5 separate regions of the Mus musculus genome follow, and all the other regions are reported to be linked to region 4. The links are microRNA targets in miRTarBase. Many come from high-throughput screens and were not tested one by one. Region 4 holds a microRNA gene; each other region holds the end of a gene's coding sequence. Distances are between the middles of the regions.
Evidence for each region. The annotated mature microRNA mmu-miR-29a-3p reads UAGCACCAUCUGAAAUCGGUUA and lies in region 4 at 2,386-2,407, opposite strand. An mRNA with a match to its seed (bases 2 to 7 or 8) in the 3' UTR can be bound and repressed. Matches are read on the target gene's strand: a 7mer-m8 pairs with bases 2 to 8, a 7mer-A1 pairs with bases 2 to 7 and ends in A, and an 8mer does both.

Region 1: the mRNA of Col1a2 is a reported target of mmu-miR-29a-3p. Seed matches in the 3' UTR shown: 7mer-A1 at 1,267-1,273.
Region 2: the mRNA of Col1a1 is a reported target of mmu-miR-29a-3p. Seed matches in the 3' UTR shown: 7mer-A1 at 1,310-1,316, 8mer at 1,352-1,359 and 7mer-A1 at 1,530-1,536.
Region 3: miRTarBase lists Hif3a as a target of mmu-miR-29a-3p. The part of its 3' UTR that is shown has no 7-base or 8-base seed match.
Region 5: the mRNA of Bicd1 is a reported target of mmu-miR-29a-3p. The part of its 3' UTR that is shown has no 7-base or 8-base seed match.

Annotation. Positions count from the first base shown.
Region 1 is chr6:4,539,912-4,544,031 of GRCm38, forward strand. It overlaps Col1a2 (collagen, type I, alpha 2), which reads left to right. Exons shown (of 52, transcript NM_007743.3): 52 at 605-1,632. The coding sequence ends at 751. Among named protein-coding and RNA genes, the nearest start is that of Col1a2, 36 kb to the left of the region's middle.
Region 2 is chr11:94,951,187-94,955,286 of GRCm38, forward strand. It overlaps Col1a1 (collagen, type I, alpha 1), which reads left to right. Exons shown (of 51, transcript NM_007742.4): 50 at 1-157; 51 at 287-1,856. The coding sequence ends at 433. Among named protein-coding and RNA genes, the nearest start is that of Hils1, 14 kb to the right of the region's middle.
Region 3 is chr7:17,032,428-17,036,547 of GRCm38, reverse strand. It overlaps Hif3a (hypoxia inducible factor 3, alpha subunit), which reads left to right. Exons shown (of 15, transcript NM_001162950.1): 15 at 583-4,120. The coding sequence ends at 680. Among named protein-coding and RNA genes, the nearest start is that of Ppp5c, 6.6 kb to the right of the region's middle.
Region 4 is chr6:31,060,288-31,064,407 of GRCm38, forward strand. Mir29a (microRNA 29a) reads right to left here and starts at 2,460; the gene lies at 2,373-2,460. Mir29b-1 (microRNA 29b-1) reads right to left here and starts at 2,806; the gene lies at 2,736-2,806.
Region 5 is chr6:149,549,625-149,553,744 of GRCm38, forward strand. It overlaps Bicd1 (BICD cargo adaptor 1), which reads left to right. Exons shown (of 9, transcript NM_009753.4): 8 at 726-801. The coding sequence ends at 773. It overlaps Gm38931 (a long non-coding RNA gene), which reads right to left. Exons shown (of 3, transcript XR_869630.3): 2 at 1,276-1,385. Among named protein-coding and RNA genes, the nearest start is that of Gm38931, 2.8 kb to the right of the region's middle.

The sequences.
Region 1 (4,120 bases), 27 Mb from region 4:
ACTGAGCTGACTCCTATGCCCACACAGTCCCTGCTTTCCTCTCAGCATTTAGAGTTCCTATGTATTAACATATACCAAGAATTTAAAACTTATTGAGGTTTAAAATGCTTCAGTTGCACCTTAGAATATGGCTACATTCAATTTTTCTGTAGACTTTTACCTATATAAAAGAGTATATGTTTTATATAATATGCTCTAAGTTAGAATAAAGTTTTAAGTGTAAAATTACTGTATACCTACCCAATTCTCTATACATACACAGACATACACACAAGATGCATACACACAACATACAGAAACACACACCACACACATACAAGATATGCAAACACACCATACACACATACACACACCATACACTCACCTTGAAAAGAATATGTATCCAAACATATTTGAAACTTATCCTAAAGAAGTTATCATTCCCTGAAAGACATCCTTGACACTGTCTGTCTACAGTGAACGTCTTAATCAGGAACCCCTATCTTCAGAAAGTGTTGGCTGCCGAGAAATGGCTTTCCTAGACCCCGATGCTTAGATATAAGTCAGGTGCAGCTATACTGGTCTGATGTATTTTCCTTTTTTCCCATTTTTTTCTATTATACAGAAAAAGACAAATGAATGGGGCAAGACAATCATTGAATACAAAACAAATAAGCCATCTCGCCTGCCGTTCCTTGACATTGCACCTCTGGACATTGGTGGTGCTGACCAAGAATTCCGTGTGGAGGTTGGCCCCGTCTGTTTCAAATAAGTGAACTCAACCTAAATTAAAAACCAAAAACCCCTGAAAAAACTTTCTCTTTGCCGTTTCCTCCTTTAAAAAAAAAAACAAAAAACAAAAACTGAAAGCTGAATCCTTCCATGTCTTCTATGCATCTACATCTTAAACTGTGGGCAAAAGAGAAGGATTGGTCAGAGCAGTGTGCAATATGATCCAACTAAGTCTCCTCCCTTGGCCCCTCCCCAAAATGTTTGCAGTGTTATTTTTGTGGGTTTTTTTTTAACACCCTGACACCTGTTGTGGACATTGTCAACCTTTGTAAGAAAACCCAAATAAAAATTGAAAAATAAAATAAAAAGAAACCCATGAACATTCGCACCACTTGTGGCTTCTGACTATCTTCCACAGAGGGAAGTTTAAAACCCAAACTTCCAAAGGTTTGAACTACCTCAAGACACTTTGCAGTGAGTGTAGACCATCCCAATGAGAGTTGACCAAGGCTGACACGAACTGAGGTACTTGTTTTGTTTTGCTTGCAACACAAAGGTGCTAATTAGTAGTATTTCAGATACTTGAAGAATATGAACGGTGCTGGAAGAATTACAGAAGAAACAATCCTCCACATTGATGTGCATTGTGTGTGATTTTTAAATTTGACTTAGCAGTCCTCTTTCTCATCTTATCCCCAACTACAGGAATGCAGGCCACTTGCCCCAGGTTCTCTCTTCATTAGATTCAGCATTCATTCTTTAACAGCCTCATTTTCCTTCTTGCCCATGGTTCCAAAGAAGTCTTGTTTCTTGGACAAGCAGAAAAATTGAATTGTACCTATTTTGTATATGTGAGATGTTTAAATAAATTGTGAAAAATAAAATAAAGCATTTTTGGTTTTCCAAAAGAAAATATTGAGTAAAATTCCTTGCTTTGATGCTCATTGCCATATGAATCTGCATCTCTACCAGCCATTAGAACAAGTAAACCTCAGTGGAAAGAAATTATACAGTAATAATAATTAATAATAATAATAATAATAATAATAATAATAATAATAATGTAGAAAGATCTCAGAACAAGGAAGGACTCAGGAAGAAACTCAGCTCCAGTTTCTGCCATGTTCCTTGGAGCTAAGTGACCTTCAGCCTCTGTGCCTGGGTTTCTGCTTCCAACCTGGTAACATGGAGAGGAATTCTATTCTTCACTGTGACGCATCTGTGACTCCTCAGAATGCATAGTACCTAAGCAACATGATACTCTTGATCTCTGTTTTCTCTAAGCAAAGGTCCACAGAAACTTTTGCCTCATTATCCATCAAGCACTTTGTAACTATGGCTGAAAGTTGGTCTATGCACAATTAATATTATTAACTAAAACAGTTTCAAATAGTCAGTAAAAATGCCACACAGTTAAATATGCTGCAACTGAGTACAATGCCTGTTAAGAGGTAATGTGTGTGCTGTCAATCAGCACAGACAGTTGTGGATAATAGTACCAAGAACACCTACCTGCCAAATCAAGTTCATTTTCCTCCCCTGCACCTTTCAATGACATCTTTAACACACTTAAACATAGTAATGTGTCAAGTAAAATGTTAAGATTCATTTAGAACTTATCCCCTGTTGCAGAACGTAATTGTTATTGTAATATTTGCCTCCTGTTATAAGTCATCTCAAGATTCAATTAGTTTAAAAGCAAAAGACCGAACATGAGGAAAAATTTAACACTAACTCTAAAAAGTTAGCAAGGTCTACTAACCAAACAGTACTATCAGGTCAGGTCTTCCTCCCACTAGAATCTGAGCACTGGGATACTCAGATGGGAGCACAAGTACACAGCCATTGCCCCTCGTCCAGATCCCCTGTGGAGTCGGTGATTGTACTGCCTGTGCAATTCTGATTCCTGTACCAAGGAGGTAACTCAAGTCTCTGCATGCCCTTGATGTCTCTAACATTCCATGTCTGACAAGCTTGAGTCGATGTAGCCAATCACACAATATAAAGAAAACTCAAACTCTGTCATCAAAACGCTGTAACGCCCTCAAATTAATCATTGGAATAGCAATGGCAAAGTTATAAAGTGATAAAATTGTTAGAAGTCTCTGGGCTGAATATAAGTATGGCTTCTGGCTTGTGATATGAGGAAGAGAACCAGCATTTTGTGAGGACAAACTGTGGCTCAAATACACATTAGAATAGTTACATCTGAGTCTCTTCTGCCAACAGATTTCCAAGCTAACAGTCTCAATAATCACTCTATCTCCACTGCATCATCACTACATAAAAGGAGGAAATAAATAACATTTAATAGAAAACAGTGTTATGTTCAAAATACTAATAAAAAAATTAAAGTTTTGATTCCCAAATAACAATTATGAGGATGGTTAAACAAAAGAAAACCTGCTTTCAAAAGCCTGTCTTTACAGATCTATTTAAACATGCTTATAAAAATACCAAGAGTTGGTGCTTGCAGGACAATTATGTCAAGATGGGTTTTTTAGTCCTACATTTTCCAAATTTACTATAATATAATTTCATGATCTGTACAATTTACAACAAATTGTCTCAAAAGAAATTACTAGCAATCTTGATGGAAGAGTAGTCATCTCTAAGAATGAGATATCTACCATCCCACTCAGCTTCTTCCTGAGACAACGAGGAGAGCTTACCTGGTCTCTAGCATGTGCCAGTTCACCTGAGCAACACTAGGAAGGATGCCCAAAGCTGGCTACACCTCCTCTGAGAGCAGGGTCCTTAAGGTTTATCCAGCTCACTTGCTAAGACAGAATAAACCTATGTATGAGTAGTATTTTAGACAAAGTTCCATGTCAGGATAACAGGACAGTATCAGTTAGAGGGCCTCATACAAATCTCAGTCTCACACAAAACAGTGACATTTGGCCAACTGGCCTCTTCTACAGATTTCACTCCTCCTACAGGCCCTCTCTGGATAAATGCTTCTGTTTAGAAACCACTTATTAGAACAATCCAGTACTTACCAGTTGGTCCATCGTGAATATTCCTAGAGTCTGGGCTAAGAAAATGGCTACAGAGTTATGTCCAGAAGATTTGACCCTCCCATGGTCTGTCATCTGTTCCAAGCTAATCGCAGCTCTAACTGATTCTTCGCAGGACTTTCTCTGACCCTTTGCCAAGTGAAGTTTTAGCCACCTCCACCCTGAATGTGAGAGAGAAGAAAGTGGCACAGGAGAGGAGGATCCTGGGAGGGGACAGTAACCAAGTCATTTAAAATTCTAAATCAGCATAGTTAGCATACTGGCCAAGAGTAGACACCCAAGCAACACAAGGTGCATTCGGCATCTTTCATGCCAAAAAAACTTTTTAAAAATGCTATTCTCCCTAATATCATTGACAAGGAATTTCAGAAATTGGATTATAGATAAGG
Region 2 (4,100 bases), not on the chromosome of region 4:
GAACATCACCTATCACTGCAAGAACAGCGTAGCCTACATGGACCAGCAGACTGGCAACCTCAAGAAGGCCCTGCTCCTCCAGGGATCCAACGAGATCGAGCTCAGAGGCGAAGGCAACAGTCGCTTCACCTACAGCACCCTTGTGGACGGCTGCACGGTGAGTCCCCCAGACTGGGTCCAGCCTGTCTCTTTGGGCATCTGGTTTAGCCTTCTGGCAGAACAGAGTGAGCCTCACTTCATTCCTACCTTGGTAATGACCCTCTCCCGCTGTCTTCATTCACACCAGAGTCACACCGGAACTTGGGGCAAGACAGTCATCGAATACAAAACCACCAAGACCTCCCGCCTGCCCATCATCGATGTGGCTCCCTTGGACATTGGTGCCCCAGACCAGGAATTCGGACTAGACATTGGCCCTGCCTGCTTCGTGTAAACTCCCTCCACCCCAATCTGGTTCCCTCCCACCCAGCCCACTTTTCCCCAACCCTGGAAACAGACGAACAACCCAAACTCAATTTCCCCCAAAAGCCAAAAATATGGGAGATAATTTCACATGGACTTTGGAAAACATTTTTTTTCCTTTGCATTCACCTTTCAAACTTAGTTTTTACCTTTGACCAACTGAACGTGACCAAAAACCAAAAGTGCATTCAACCTTACCAAAAAAGAAAAAAAAAAAAAGAATAAATAAATAACTTTTTAAAAAAGGAAGCTTGGTCCTCTTGCTTGAAGACCTATGTGGGTATAAGTCCCTTCCTGCCCACTTGGCTTATGATACCCTAATGCTGCCTTTTCTGCTCCTTTCTCCACCCCCTCTTGGGGCCTCTCCTCCATTGCTCCCCAAATTTAAGTCTCCCCCAAGACACAGGAAATAATGCATTGTCTGCCCAGCAAACAAAGGCAATGCTGAAATGTCCCACCAGCCCCTCAACCCCGTCTACTTCCCTACCCAGCACCCTCAAATCCTGCTGGGACATGGGGTTCTTGGACTGTTGAAGGAACCTAACCATCTGGCATCTCCATGGCCTCTGCAACAAACCCCCCACTTTTTTCTCTCCCCCCCCCCCCAGGGAGGGCCTGTGCTTTGGGCAGCCACCTGCCCCTCTCAGGGGTTTGGAGCCAGGCAGGGTCACAGCAGACTGGAAACATCGGACATGCATGTGCAGGCTGGGTGGGAGAGACCGTTCTATTCCTCAGTGCAATTGTGTTGCTGAAAGACTACCTCGTTCTTGTCTTTGTGTGTCACCGGGGCAACTGTGTGGGGGCGGGGATGGGGGCAGGGTGGCAGCACGCCCAGTTTGGTATCAAAGGTGCTACATCTCTGTGAAGGGGTGGGGTGGGAAGGAATTTCTGGTGCTATAGAAGCTGAGATGCTCCCTAGACCAGCAAATGTTTCTTTTGTTCAAAGTATTTTTTATTCTTTTTTTTTTTTTTTTTAATGGATAGGGACTTGTGTGAATTGTTGGGGTTTTTTTTTTTTTTTTTTTTGGTTTTGTTTTTTTTTGTTTTGTTTTGTTTTTTTTCCTGAAGGTGCTATTTAACAAGGGAGAAGAGAGTGCGGGGACTTCACCCTGCCCACTCTCTACTCTCTCTCCACTCTTCTAGTTCCTGGGCCTATCTGATCTCTCTCTTTCTTCTGAAACCCTCCCCTCTTGCTGCTGCTCCCTCCCCTCTGCCTCTCTCTTGGTCTGTCCTGCATCAGGGTTTCAGAGCACCACTTTCCAAAGCACAAAACAGTTTTTACCCCTGGGCTGGGAGGAAACAAGAGACTCTGTACCTATTTTGTATGTGTATAATAATTTGAGATGTTTTTAATTATTTTGATTGCTGGAATAAAGCATGTGGAAATGACCCAATGCATGTGCAGTGGCCTCTGAATTTCCTTCCTGGGACGTGGGGAGGTGGGGATCCAGGGACAGGGCTCTGGGATGGGGGACTTGCCTTCTACCCCTGCCCTTTCTCTCTCCCTCACTTCTCATCCAGATATTGCCACCTTCCTCTCTTGCCTGTCTTATGCCTTAGACCTTTTTTCTTGCCTCTTTTACCTTTTCCTCTTTCCAGTCTTCCTTGTGCATCCCCAGATCCCCAGCTTCACCAGTTCAATCATCCCAGGTGCACAGCATTGCGGACATGCTCGCACGTACTTCATTCCCAGATCTCTCTCTCTCTCTCTCTCTCTCTCTCTCTCTCTCTCACACACACACACACACACACACACACACATACACACACACACACCTCAGGCCCGCCATCCCAACAATACATCACATCTCCATGCTGCAGACCTGAGGCCTGGGAGGTGTTGCCCATGGATCCTGGGAGGTTCATGAGCCCTCAAAGGGATTCAAGCAGCAGAAACAGGGACTGAGACATGGAGGACCAGGTTGCTCCTTGGTCACACATGGAGGGGTAGCTGGCCTCTCCCCACCTCTAGCCCAAAGAAACCATAATTTAGTATAGAAGGGGCCTTCTAATGCTGGGGTGTCACAAGGAGGATGAGAATTTCTTGGGTCACCCTTGATCTCACCAGAGAGAGGTGCCCAGCCCTCAAGGAACTCTCCCCGGGGGATCTTAGAGAGCTGTGGTGGAACTTCCGGGGTGTCACCAGAAAGGACAGGACCCCACATCACAGAGGTGCCCGGGACGATAGCATGCTGGCTCGGTACAGGGAGCCCGTGGAATTGTTCCCCCCTTCTTCCTGCCCCCTTCTTTCCTTTTCCTTTATCCCCAAAACTTTTTGCTTTTTCTTCTTCCTTTTCCCTCTCTCCCTCTGTCCATCTGAGAACCTGAGGCCCTAGAGGGATGGTAACTAATTGTCCCCCACATCTCAGAGAATGGGGACGGTGACATAGTAGAAGGCCCGAGAATCCAGCAGGCAGAAGTCTGGGGTGAACCAGACAGTAGACATAAGGACACAGATGACCCCTTTCACTCGGGGAGACAGGTCTCAAATTTGAAAGGAAGGAACAGGCCATTTGTAGCTTCCCTCTCTTGTGCTACCAGTCTACTGTGGCACCCATAGGACACGTTCATATGGTCACGGAGTATCCAAGACTATTAATGATGGCCTTTAATAATTTATTATTAGCACTTTGCATGAGGACAACGTGAAAGGAAAATTTATCTAGAGAGGAAAAGAAGTTAGGGAATGTAAAGATCTATTCAGACACAAATTATCCAAACTCCTGTAGTACTGATAGACCCACTGATTGACACGTTGATTGGGTAAAACCTTTCTTCCCAGGCATCACCAGTCTTGGGACTCTTCCTGGCTAGACCCTATCTCCTCCCATCCTCACAGGGTCCATCCTTCTGAACTCAGCATCCGAGCTGTACCTGGCCACTGCTCGCTTGTCTGAACTTACTGTCTCCTCCACGAGCCCCCATCTGTCATACCAGACAAAGGGTGTGACTGTAATTTCTACACATATAACCCTCCTTCTCATTTTATTTCCCTCCGTATTCCTGGCATAATGTCCCCTCTCTCTACTGACTAATCCCTCATCCTCCAAGGGCAGGTTTCCTCCCCTCTTCCCTAACCAAGCCCTCTGAGGTCCCAACACACCATCAGCCCATTAGCCGGTATGTTATTACCAGGCTCCCGTGGTCATGGTCCACTATGTTCTTTTCAGGCCTGACAATTCTGTGCAGGGCTGGGCACAGTCTCCATAGGTACCAGGGAGAGGCAAGATGGTGAGAGAGGTCCTCCGGAGGATATAAGTACAGAGCTGTGGAAAGGTGAGGGTGAAGGTGAGAGGAAGAACAAACAAACTAGCCAAGAAAGGGAGCAAATGACAGCTTCCTGGCGTGACAGGTAGTCAAGCACTTGAAATGTGTCTCCCCGTGATAAAGGACAGTAGTCCTAACTTGTACTACTGCAATCATTAATTAATTAATTAATTAATTAATAGCTACAAATGGGCTGAAGGAAACAGAACTCCAGACAAAGGAGCGAATAACTTCTCACTGTGCGCCTGAAAATCTATACATATACATACATGTACACACGTGGATATACACAAGGGCATGTGCACCTTGTGATAGGCCTTGTTTGCAGCACCCCGCAGCGGCTGTCACGTGGCATGGGCTGGTATGTGCTC
Region 3 (4,120 bases), not on the chromosome of region 4:
CCTTGGGGTGGAAGCCAAGGTCTCCTGGACCCAGATACAAGTCCACTTCAGAGCTTAGCCAGGTTAAGATAGCTCCACAAGGTAACTCCCAGCCATGAGGTTTTGGGTCGGCTGCTTGTGAAGCCTCGGCTCCTCTATCTGTCAGTGGGGGCTATGGCTACAGTTCTTCCCTGGAGAGCCTGTTTGGAGACATGAACTGTGGAGATGCTGCATGGGCAGAATTCACCCAAGAACTGTCCTGTAGTAAGTGTCCGAGAAACACCTCCTTCTGTGGCTGCAGGGTGGGGCAGTGCTGGCTCTGCAGCCTTTCGGCTTGTTTGCCTTTTTATGGAGATTTTTCCCTCAGCTACCAAAAGCTTTGGCTTCTCTTGGAGCCTCTGGTGGGTCCTGGGGATGGAACCCAGTGGCCTGTTCTTGCCTTCCAACCTGTCTATGGTTTCTAGGGACTGAACTCAGATTGTCAAGGTTTGCAGCAAACACCTGAACCCCCTGAGCCATCTTGCCAGCCTGCCTCCCTGCCTTAGATGCACGTACGTATATGGGTGCTGATTCTCTCCTGATTCGCCTCCCTTTTCTCTGCAGGCCTAGCTCCCTCGCTGCTCTCTCTCTGCCAGCATGAGGAAACTGTCCAGCCCAGGAACCGCTTCCCGCCAGCAGCAGGCTTGGGCCAGACCCACTGAGTCAGCCTTCCTCTCAGCCCTCTTCTTCTATCCCAGAAAGGACTCAGCCACACTCCACACCAGCAGCCTACACCCAGGATGGGGCCTCTCTCCTCTGAGTGTGCCCCCCCCAGCCAGCCACAGTCCTACCTCAGCCCCCCAACCTTCTGCTGCCCCCAGTCGGAGGCTTCTTGGGTATTCTCAGCTCAGTGACCTTTGGGAGGGGTGTGTGACCCTCCCCACCTCCTCTCAGGACTTCCTTTGGGGTTCTCCACAGTTCTCCATACCTCAATACCCCTTTTTCTGACTCTCTTTGCTTTATTTGGGAGAATGAGGGGTTGGGAGAATCGGAGATCCATCTCTGATCCTGGCCCCATGGAGCTTAGACAACTGTAATCACATTTTTTGGTTGTTGTTTTGGTTTTTTTGTTTGTTTTTTGTTTTCTCCCTGTTCCTCTTCTATCGGCTTGACTTTGTCCTTTTCACAATAGGGCATTCAGTCACTCTGCATTGCACAGATCCACAGCAATTGTGAGACTCTGGTCTTCCCCCTCTTCCGTGGCAAATGTGGGAAGACTCTGGGTCAGATTTCACCTCAAACAACTTATGGAGTCTCAGCCTTCCAACTGCCCCCCAGCTCTGCTTGCCATGTCTGCTCCTGACTTCATGCTGGCCCCAGACGCTGCCTAAATAATGACTTCATTTGTGATCTTCCTGTGTTAGGGGGAGCCAGCGACTTCCTCCACTCCACAGACCTATAATCTCTGGATCTTGAATACTTGACTCCCACCTTTACTGTTTGTAGACTGTGCAACTTCTAGCCTTCCCTGGACCTAGGCTATACCACTTTCTCTCTTCCTTGCACCTAGACATGTAGCTCCTGGTCTTTGTTGGCTCTAGACTGAAAACCCTTGGGCCTTCTCTGGTTCTAGAGATCTCTGGGTTCTCTGATTCTAGACTTTCTACTTCTTGGTTCTAAAACATACAATCCATGGCTTTTCCCTGGCTCTCTGACTCCATATTTCTCATCTTTTTTCTGTTTCTAGAATGTGAAACCTGTGAGCTTCATTGGCTGTAGACTGTACCACCAGTGGTCTCCTCTAGTTTGTGACTCATGACCTCTGGCCTTCCCTTGTTCTAGACACTGTGGCCTCTGGCCTCCATGGTTCTAAACTGTGTTGTTCCTGCCTTCTTTTGTTCTAGACTGTTCAATCTCTGACATTCTCTAGTTCTAGTCTGTACAGTCTCCAGTCTTTTACCTGACTCTAGACTGCAGGCCTTTGGACCTGGCTCTGGTTCTAGACCATGCCACTTCTCTGGCCTTTTCTCTGATTCTAGACTTTAGGCCCTCTGGTTTTCTGTGGTTCTAGAACAGGGGTTCTCAACCTTCCTAATGCTGCAACCCTCTAATACAGTTTCTCATGTTGTAGTGACCACTGACTATAAATTTATTTCATTGCTGCTTCATAACTGTAATTTTGCATCTGTTATGAATCATAATGTAAATATCTGGTATGCAGGATATCTGATATCTGATCCTCAAAGTGGTCACAGCCCACAGATTGAGAGCTGCTGTTCTAGACTCTACAGCCTATGAGCTTCTTTGATTCTAGGTTATGCTGCCTCTGGTCTTCACTGGTTCTAAACTAGATGACCACTAGCCTTCTCTGGCATTCCCTGGTTCTAGACTGTGCTGTCATTGACTTCCCCCTGGTTCTACACTGTGTTATCATTGGCTTCCCCCCTGGTTCTAGACAGCATCATTTCCAACATGGTCTGTTAAAGACCTCAATTTCTTCAAACCCCTCTACTTCCACATCTCATACTCTTTAGTTCTTTCTTGGGCTGGATCTCACAGCTCCCAATCTGCCATTTTAAAGTGGGGTTTGAATTACATAATCTGTAAAGCTCTCTGGATCTAAAGCCTACAACCACCAAGAATCCTCTAGCTTCAAGGCTTATTCTGTAATTTCCTCTGGTTCTAGGCCTCTTCTTAAAAATCCTCTGGTTCTCATGCCCTCTGCTGCCTGTCATTGCAGACCATTGGTGTGTGTAGTAGCAAGGATTAAACCTCAGGCCTTGCACGTGCTAGGCAAGCACTCTACCACGGAGCTTTCCCCAGTCCTGTCTTATGTCTTATTTTGAGACAGGATCTTTATTGGTTGCACAGACTAACCTTGAACTCAAGTCTGTTCAGATAGACCCTGAACTCATCCTGCTTCAGCCTCCCGAGTAGCTGGGAATTACAGGCCTTTGAGACTGGGGCCAGCTAATCTTATAATTGGCGATCTCCTCTTGTTTCTGGATTCCCCAACTCCAAGCTTCTTATTAGCTCCGGTCTTTCTAATCTGTAAGACAGTTGGTTTCAAATCCAGACCTGATTTCTAGATCATTTTGGTTCCAAACCTCATGATGTCGAGTTTATTGTTCTTCAGACCCCTGTGCTTTCCCCCAGTAAGGAGGAGTGGAGTGAGTTTTATGTCTTGAACTTGGATCTGGCCTTTCTGGAACCACATACCACGTGCCCATTCTTTTGGGTTCTGGATTTCATTACCTTTAATCATTACCCATGTTTTAGATTATGTAAACTCTAGACCCCGAAACTTCCAGGATCCTCTGTTCTCAGATGCTCTGGTGATCTGCCTATTACTGAGCTTCAAATATCAAGGTGGGCAGTGGTGGTGCACGTCTCTGATCCTAGCACTTAGGAAGCAGAAGGAGGCAAATCTCTAAGTTTGAGGCCAGCTGATCTATCGAGCAAGTTCCAGGATGCCAGGGCTACATGGAGAAACCCTGTCTCAAAATCAACAAAACAGAACAAAACAAACAGCAAATATCTTCTGGGGTTTGTTACTGTTTTGAGACAGTGTCTTAAATTCATTGACCATAAAATTGCTATGTAGCCAAATGATTTTAAATCCGTGATACCCCTTCACCCACCCCACCAAGTGCTGGGGTTACAGACATGCCTAGTTGTATGTGGTGTTGGAGACTGAAGCCAGAGCTTCATGCATGCTAGGCAAGTACTCTACCAACTGAGCTACACCCAGCCTCTATAAATGTCTTCTGCATCTAGACCTATCCCATGAGTTTCTTTGGTTCTAGACCCCACAATTGCCCAGTCCTCTTTACTTCAGATCTTAACAACTCAAAGTACCCTGAATCTAGAACAGAGTTTGAAAATATCAGCGGATATCTTGCCTTCTATATTTCTCTAGTTCTAAGCCTTAGAACCCCAATCTTGATTCTAGATTTAAGATCCTAAAATCCCTGTGGATTCTAGACCTTGGTTTGGGGGCTTTTCTTTCCCCAGGAATGGGCTGGATGACATGCAGCTCTGACTGGCCTCCAGCTCACTATAGAGCCAGAGATGACCTTGAACTTGTGACCCTCTTCCCTCTGCCTCTCAAATGCTGCGATTGCAGGTGTCCAGCAGCTTGCTCACTTTGTGTGGTGCCAGG
Region 4 (4,120 bases):
CTGACAGACTCTCAGACAGGAGCTGGCTGACAGACTCTCAGACAGGAGCTGGCTGAGAGGATTAAAGAGATGAGGACCTGGAATGTATTTAGCCCAGGAAGGAAGCAAGGGAACCAGAGAGCTGAGAAAGGCACTCACCCAGACCAGTGTGGGAGGAAGCTGGGCTCCGAGAAACCAAAGCCTGTCCCAGCACGCTGGGAGGGAAGCTGAAAGCTCCACAGTCGCTATGAGGAGTGCATGGGAAAGTTCAGGGAAACAACGTTTAAAATGATAGTTACTCATCTCAGAATTTAATAAGGTTTCTGAAGGAATGTGAATCTGTATGGGTGGGCTACAAAAAAATCCCTCTCTATATTACCAATATTCCCCATTACCAACACTAGTTCTTCTATGTGCATGTGTGTACTCATGTGCACCTCAGGTTCTTCATGACAGCTGTCTACCTGGCCTTTTGCGGCCGGGTTGTTCACTAGTCCTTGACTTCACCTGGGCTGTAATTGGATTGTGAGGGTCAATGGAACGGCTGCTTTAAGGGGGAATGAGGGTTGTTAAAGTTAAATCCTCACATGGGGGAGGGAGCAGGGAAGAAAGTCAGAATGAAAGAAGAGCAGCGCAACGCTTTAAATGTAGGCAGTCAGAAGACACAGATAAAAGTTGAGGATACAGCTAATGGGAAAATATAGGTGCGGCAGTGGACAGCTACTTATTGCTATAGGGCTCAGTGCTAATCCAGTGCAGTCTGTGGATATATAACACATGAATCATATTAGAAGATTAAACTTAAAAACAAAACAGAACAGGACAATTTAAATGCCAAACTGGTAAGTATATAAGCAAGATGTGGCATGCCCACACAGTGAAATATTATTTAGTCATGAAAAGGGAACCGAGTTTGGATGAACGCACCGTGAGAGAACCATGAAAACGTCCCATTAAGTGAACTAAGCTGGATGGAGAATTTCACAGAGGGTGTGATTCTGTGAAATGTTCAGAACATGTAAATCTACAGAGAACAGATTTCACTCAGAGACAGGAAGTACATAATGAGTAAGGAATGCCTGGATTCAGGTTTTCTTTCGAGGTGAGGAGAACTAGACCTTGCTGATCTGTACAACTCCATGAAAGCTTTGCTCAAGAGCCTTTGTGTTATATACTCTAAAATGGTTCAAACGCTCCACTTCGGGTTTTCTGTAGCTGTGTCACTTTGTTCCTATTCTGTATCTGTGGTATACTCCCTCTTCATTTCAGTTCAACCCAAGCTGTTCAGTCTCAGCAGCAAACGCATTCTTCTGCTTTACGAGGCCGTGATGCTGACTTGGACAATGCGTAATGCGGGAGTAACTGAGGCTACACGCGATCCCATTCGGCTCAACAGGAACGAGCTATGAACGAAGGTCGGGATGCAGCAGGGTTAGGAATTACTTACACACGCAGCGCTTCAGCAATACTAACAGCCCGCTTGCCTTTTCATTCTGAAACACAAGCACAGAAAACTTGGATTTGGGGTTCTGGGCAGCGAGGTCTACTGCAGGAGTTCCGTTTTGTTTACCAAGGAAAAACTGTACAATCTATCTCGCCTAACCTTTTAGATCTAGCCAAAGCTTAGTCATTTGTATGATTCATCTGATTTTCCTTATTTATAAGTCTAGTTAAAGTTCAACCAGGAGGAAATGTAGCCTTAAGCACCACTTGGAAAGGCTACAAATACCACAGGCTAGGTGTGTCCAACCTGTGGCCCATGCCACCCCACCCCACCCCCTTCCCCTCAGGATAGCTATGAATGCTGTCCAACACATCACAAGTGTACTTAAAACCCACGAAATTATCTTTTGCAATCCCATTGTATTCTCTAATGTTAACTTTGTTGATGACAACATCGCATTGCAATGTAAATGGTTGGACACATCTACCAGACATGAGTTTGTCACACTTATTTTTATGCCTATTACTTGAGTCCCAGACACAGGTCCAGTTATCTGAACCATCTGTTACATCTAACTTATAGCTCTCCTGGTCTGGACAGCTAACCATGCAATGGCCAGTGGTCAGGCAGGCTAGGTGACTATCCCTATGTGAGCTGTTAGAACCTTATAGAAGTAAATATCCCCTGCTCCTCTCACATTGACTGGTCAGTCATTGGTTTGGCCCTTTATCCTCTAGTTACCGTCAAATCTGCAACCCATACACACTTTCTAAAACACACCCACCATCACTATGTGAATAGTTAACCATGCTGTTGCTGGGGCACGTGTTAATGAAAGTCAAGTTTAAGATAGGAAGAAAATGTACCTTAGCATGTTTTGGTATTTGTTTCTTAATTCTTACCTGTGGCTCCAACGTCAGCAATAACGTAGTCAGCTGAACGGTGCTCTTCCCCAATCATTATAACCGATTTCAGATGGTGCTAGAAAATTCTATTGACTCTGAACACCAAAAGAAATCAGTCATCCTCTAAGGGGTCACAAGAGGTCATGTGCACTGGGAAGGCCCAGGCCTTCAATCTGTCGTATATGTAGGTCTTCATCCGAGCATGGTGGAGTCCACTTCCAGAGAAGGCTTATTACATGAACAAGTATGCAATTCTAACGGTGGTTGACTAATCAGCTATCCATAACACAGAGGTAAGCAGGGTGGGCGAGGGCAGGCTCTGGTAGCCTGTTTTAGACACTGGACACTTACTTCAGGGCTGTACACTCATTTCTTTGTGCGGTCGGCAGCGAAGTAGTTCTCCACCAAGAACACTGATTTCAAATGGTGCTAGACAATCACTATTTAAATCTAAACCACCATATGAAACCAGCTTCCTGAAGAAGCTTTGTCGTCTGTTTTTGTGGCCTTCCTACGGAGAGGGAAGGTGAAGTCCGTGCAATAGTTCCTAATTTCAGGCGATCCTATGCTGACCTCATCTAGCAGGTGGGGGTGGGGGTGTGACATGTCGGTCACTCATGGCATTCTTCCCTCCAAATGGTAACTGAGCCCTCACCCGAGAGCAGACGTGGGACAGTGAGCACGAGGCTTACACATTCACGGTGCAGCGTGGCAGAGCTCAGCACACTTTTGATAAGCGTGACACTTTTTACTTCCAGATCGATCTGTTAGAGTCGACAAGTGAGCACAATTTGGGATCCTCTCAAAGGCAAAGCAACACACTGATGCTAATGAGACCCTGCCCCCTTTTGCCAGACTGCAGTAGTGAGTTCAGGTCTTTTGCTAACTCAATTCTCCTCCAGAAGTGAAGCTTTGAATCTTCGGTATCTGACAGATTATCACTATCATCAGTACTGCTGCTACTGCTACTACTATTACAGTTTTAAACAGGGTCTCACTATGTAGCCCTGGCTGTCCTCGTAACTCAGAGAGGCCCTGCTTCTGCTTCCTGAGTGCTGAGACTTTCTGGCTTCTTTCTTGTCTCCCTTCCATTAGCTCTTGACATGTGGTCTTGCTAGGCCAGGCCGTTTGCCGTCACTCTTTTGAATGTGTCAGGGACTCCAATAACTACACATCCACGGCCTTAAAAAAAAAAAAAACTATTTAGAAACATTTCAGATATTAGAATGTTAATGTCCTTTTTAAGAATACCTTTTTAAAAAGTTGTATGTTAAATTTCTTTTTAAAATATTTTTTTCAAATGTACTGACATTAAAATGATTATTAACATTTTCTCCCCCTTTATCCCTTCCTGCTCATTCTCAAATCCATGGCCTCTTTTTAATTGCTGTTACACACACACATTCTCCTAAGTACGTGACTACAGCCGGCTTAGTCCATGTAATTTCAGGGCTCACTACATGGCATTAACTTTCAATGATAATCAAACAAATTCCTGTATTTGTGCCTTCTGAATTAACAACTGAGCGTTTTTTGCTTTAGATATATAATCTACATTATTACCTATCCCTGGCATATGTGGTTCTTACTGAATTGTTTGAAAGCAAAGAGAAGATCAGCCAGGTGCTCTGCTCTCAGCTGCTGGGGCACAGCACTGTTTAAGAAATACTGAGATAAAAAATTAAAAAAAAAAAAGGAGAACATTTTTCTTTATAATTACAGTAAGCTGTCCTACCCGAGGAAACAAACAATTCCCTGGGACTGTGAAGTAGCCAGTGTGCATGGGACTTCA
Region 5 (4,120 bases), 120 Mb from region 4:
TAATAACAAGTTATAAAATTTATTTAATCTAATGAGAGTTATAGTATGTGATTTTAAAGTAATAAAAACAAAACAAAGTGAGCACCATTAATAAGGCTGGTTTCCTTCATCAGTCCTGTTTATTAAAATTTTATTATATAATGAATCATCTAAGATTTCTGCTAGCAATTCTTTTCAACACATACAATCAATTTCCAGAAAACTGTAAATATAATTTTCTTGTTTAATTTCTTGTTAATAAAATATTGTTTGGCTTTCTCAAAATATCTGTGTTTAACAATATTACTATATGCCCTGACAATAAAATCTATTTCCTGAATATATTTCATTTTAGAACAGCATATCTGTTTGCTAATTAAATAATCAGCATTATGTTCAAGTTCAGGAGTTAGAATTTTTAATATTAATAGATTCTGATTTTAGAGTAATCAAAACACCAAATATGAATGGCCATAGGACATAATGTACTATTAAAATCTTGCTACTAATTTTATGTCATTAGTTTTTTTCTAAGACATTAATTAAAAATTCAGTCTTTTCTATTGGCATTAGTCAAGGAAAAAAACACACCCACAAAAGAAAAAAAAAAAACCACACTTAATCTAGATGTTTCTAAGTAAACGTTCCCGTTCCTCACTAAATCTCAGGCAGCTGATTTAGTTACTGTTGCTAACACCATTGTGTCATCTCTTTGTATACATGTCTAATTTATTAGTTTCTTGTAGATTGTCAGCAGCCTGCTGCCTCCGTACCGCCACAGTGCTCACAACTAGCTGGGAGGCAAGACTACCCAACGGTCAGGTAAATTCACAGGTCCTTCCTTCTCCCACCAGCTGCATGTCAGCTCCCCTTCCCAAGACCATAACTACCTATGCATCTTTATGTTATTGCATGTTTTTCATGAATTGGCTACATGACTTCACCCTTGTTCATATTTCCAATGAGCATGCACAGGAGTTAGTGCTATGTCATCAACCACTAGTTGATAGAATAGAGGCTGCTTCATTTCCCCTTTGTGAGAAAATACTTGAATTATTCCAGTGTTTCATTGCCTCCAATCTTAAACATGTAATTGTTAAGTTATTTGACCTACTTTTCTTTTACTTTTTTGTCCTTCAAATACAATTCTCAGGTAAACAAACAGGGAAAATATATGAAATTATATATAAAACTTATCTGATGTCCATTCTAGGACAGTTTTAATGGTTTCCATTTTCTGTTTACTCAGTCCCATTGTTAAAACTGAATTGAAAAGCCATTTGTGGTAGTACATACCTGTAATCTGAGCAGTTTGGAGGCTGTGGTAAGAGGTGGAGTTTGAATCAGAATGAGGTATATAGTGAGTTCAAGGCCAGCTTTTGATACAGAATAGCTGTCTTCAAAATCTATAAAAGAAAAAGAGGAAAGGAGGAAAATGGAGAGAAAAACTCAAATCTGAATTCCCAAAAGAATATTTGCAGTGATTATTTTCCCTTTATCTGAAATGAAGTGTTTTAAAGGCATGTTTAAAACTTCCTTGAGCCAGGCAGTGGTGGTGCATGCCATTAATCCCAGCACTTGGGAGGCAGAGGCAAGCAGATTTCTGAGTTCAAAGCCAGCCTGGTCTACAGAGTGAGTTCCAGGACAGCCAGAGCTATACAGAGAAACCCTGACTCAACAAAACAAAACAAAACAAAACAAAACAAAACAAAACAAACAGGAAAAAAAACTTCCTTGAGTTCCTAGGCACTGAGAGGAGAGTTTGCTGACAGTTCATATTTGATTTTTAAGCTGTCCAAAACAGTTTCTAGTTCCCTCCATCCTAAGTGACTACCCACGGCCTAGAATCATCCCATCAGAACTTTCTCATCTCCACAGTGTCTTTCATCCTCATTTACTTGGTTTCTGTTGGTACCAAGCCTCTGGAATCTGGATATGATCTTTAGAGTCTACTTACTAATATACATAAATGTATCTTTTGTTCTCCTACCAGAGGAGGGTTTGTATCAAGCAAGGATCAGCTCAAACATGATTCCATGTGTGTGTCTAAGATGAGTAGCTGTTATTTGCAGACTATATGTATTCTTGCCTTTGCTGGATAATCACCAATACAGAAACAATATATCCAAAGCTAGTATGTTATGTGGTCTATTGCCTAAGTAAGTAGAACACTGCCCCCAGTGTTGTAGACTGAACCTGTGCTCTCTCATATGTTAGGTCAAGGGGTCTACTACTGAGCTGCATTCCCAGCCCCCAAAGTACATTGATAAATAGTCACTAGACAGTGTCTTCTGATTAATGTCTCTTAGAAAGCTGATCAATACCACTTCAAGTAAGAGGATATTTATCTCAGAACTATTTTATTTATCTCAGAACTATTTTCTTTTTTTTTTATTTATTGACTTTATTTTTTATGTGTATTCTGTTTGTATATATTTATGTACACCACATGTATGCATGGTACTTGGGGAGGTCTGAAGAGGGCATTGGATCTCCTGGAAGCAGAGTTAGAATGGTTGTGAAGTACCATGTGGGTACTGAGAATTGAACCTAGGTCCTCTGCAAGAATAACATATACTCTTAATTACTGAACCATCTCCCCAGCCCCTCAGAAATGTTCTTTACTAATGTATTGATGGCATTTATAGTAGTAGCCAGTTCTGTATAATTTCAATTATATAAGTAACTGAATATTAGTATGAATGCTCAAGTTGATCTGAGAGGGATTTTATAGTATAGTATAGTGTTTGGAGACCCGGACACCTGTAGTCTAGATTCCACAAAGCAGCCTCCCTCAATTGGGGCACTAGGGTAGTGTCAATGCAGTACAGATGCTCCATGAATGCAGACTACATGTGTGAGTAAATGGGCTTTGGAGTCAGACTTCTACCTTGTAATTCTACCTCTTACATACCTACATGTGTAATCTTGGAAAATTGCTTCTGTTGGCAATGATGATGATGATTTATAAAGTAAGGAAGAAAATGGACATTGGAGGAATTCAATGATGAAGGGCCTGACATGTCTGCCCTGTCTGCTGTTAGCACTAACACTTTGTACATTGCCATCCCTGACCAAAATTTTGTTTATTTTGTGACAAATCTAGTTTTCTTGGACAGAGTTGTAATACTACTGCTTTAAGAATTTCCATGGGCTGGCGAGATGGCTCAGCGGATAAGAGCACTGACTGCTCTTTCAATGGTTCTGAGTTCAAATCCCAGCAACCACATGGTGGCTCACAACCATCTGTAATGAGATCTGACGCCCTCTTCTGGAATGTCTAAAGACAGCTACAGTGTACTTACATATAATAAATAAATAAATCTTTAAAAAAAAAAAAAAGAATTTCCATAAGGCAGTAGTGCAGATGTATTCCTTCTGTTCTGAGATTACTAAATTTAGGTGCTTCCTGTCTCCATGGGGGGTGATTTGTTGAAAGAAAAACAATTTAGAGAATTACAGACACCCTAGTTTCTATCCAAGTAGACATAGCATATCCAAAGCAGACTTTTCTTTCTTTTTATAGTTCACTCAAAGAAATTATTAATGCGTAGAGGTTTGAAAGGAGTCCTCTTCAGGGTGGCTTGGGTTCTGAATGGTTTCTGCTGTGAGAGGATCAGAGTCAGTTCTGCACTGCCCTCTTACTCCTTCTGGGCAAGAAGGGCAATATACAACCAACATTAGAACTCTTACTGGGTACCAGGCAAGGGTAAATTCTTCACATGTGTTAGTCATTGCGATTCCTGTATAAGCTAAACAGCTATTATACTTTTCTAAAGGAAGAAGTCTAGGTTTAGGCAGACAAAACAACTGTCAGGTGCCACATATTTTTTTAATACAATTGAGCCAAGTGACCTAACACCTATTCCCTGTCCATTGTAGAGCATGGCTGCACCTCAGATAAGGAACCAGTCATTGTACCTACAGTTGGTAAAAGAAAGCCTGTTTAAGTTATGCTGACTCAGTTTCTTTCAATTGAAAAGTGGATTCTCAGTGAAACATGAGAAAATTTTCTAGGAATGCTGAGTGAGTTCAGATCAGCTGAGTTTCTCATTTTGAAAAAAAAAGTTTACTTCCCTCCTGTTTATATGTATATATTTATGTAATTTTTGTAACTTTTTTTAGTACTACAGATCAAATT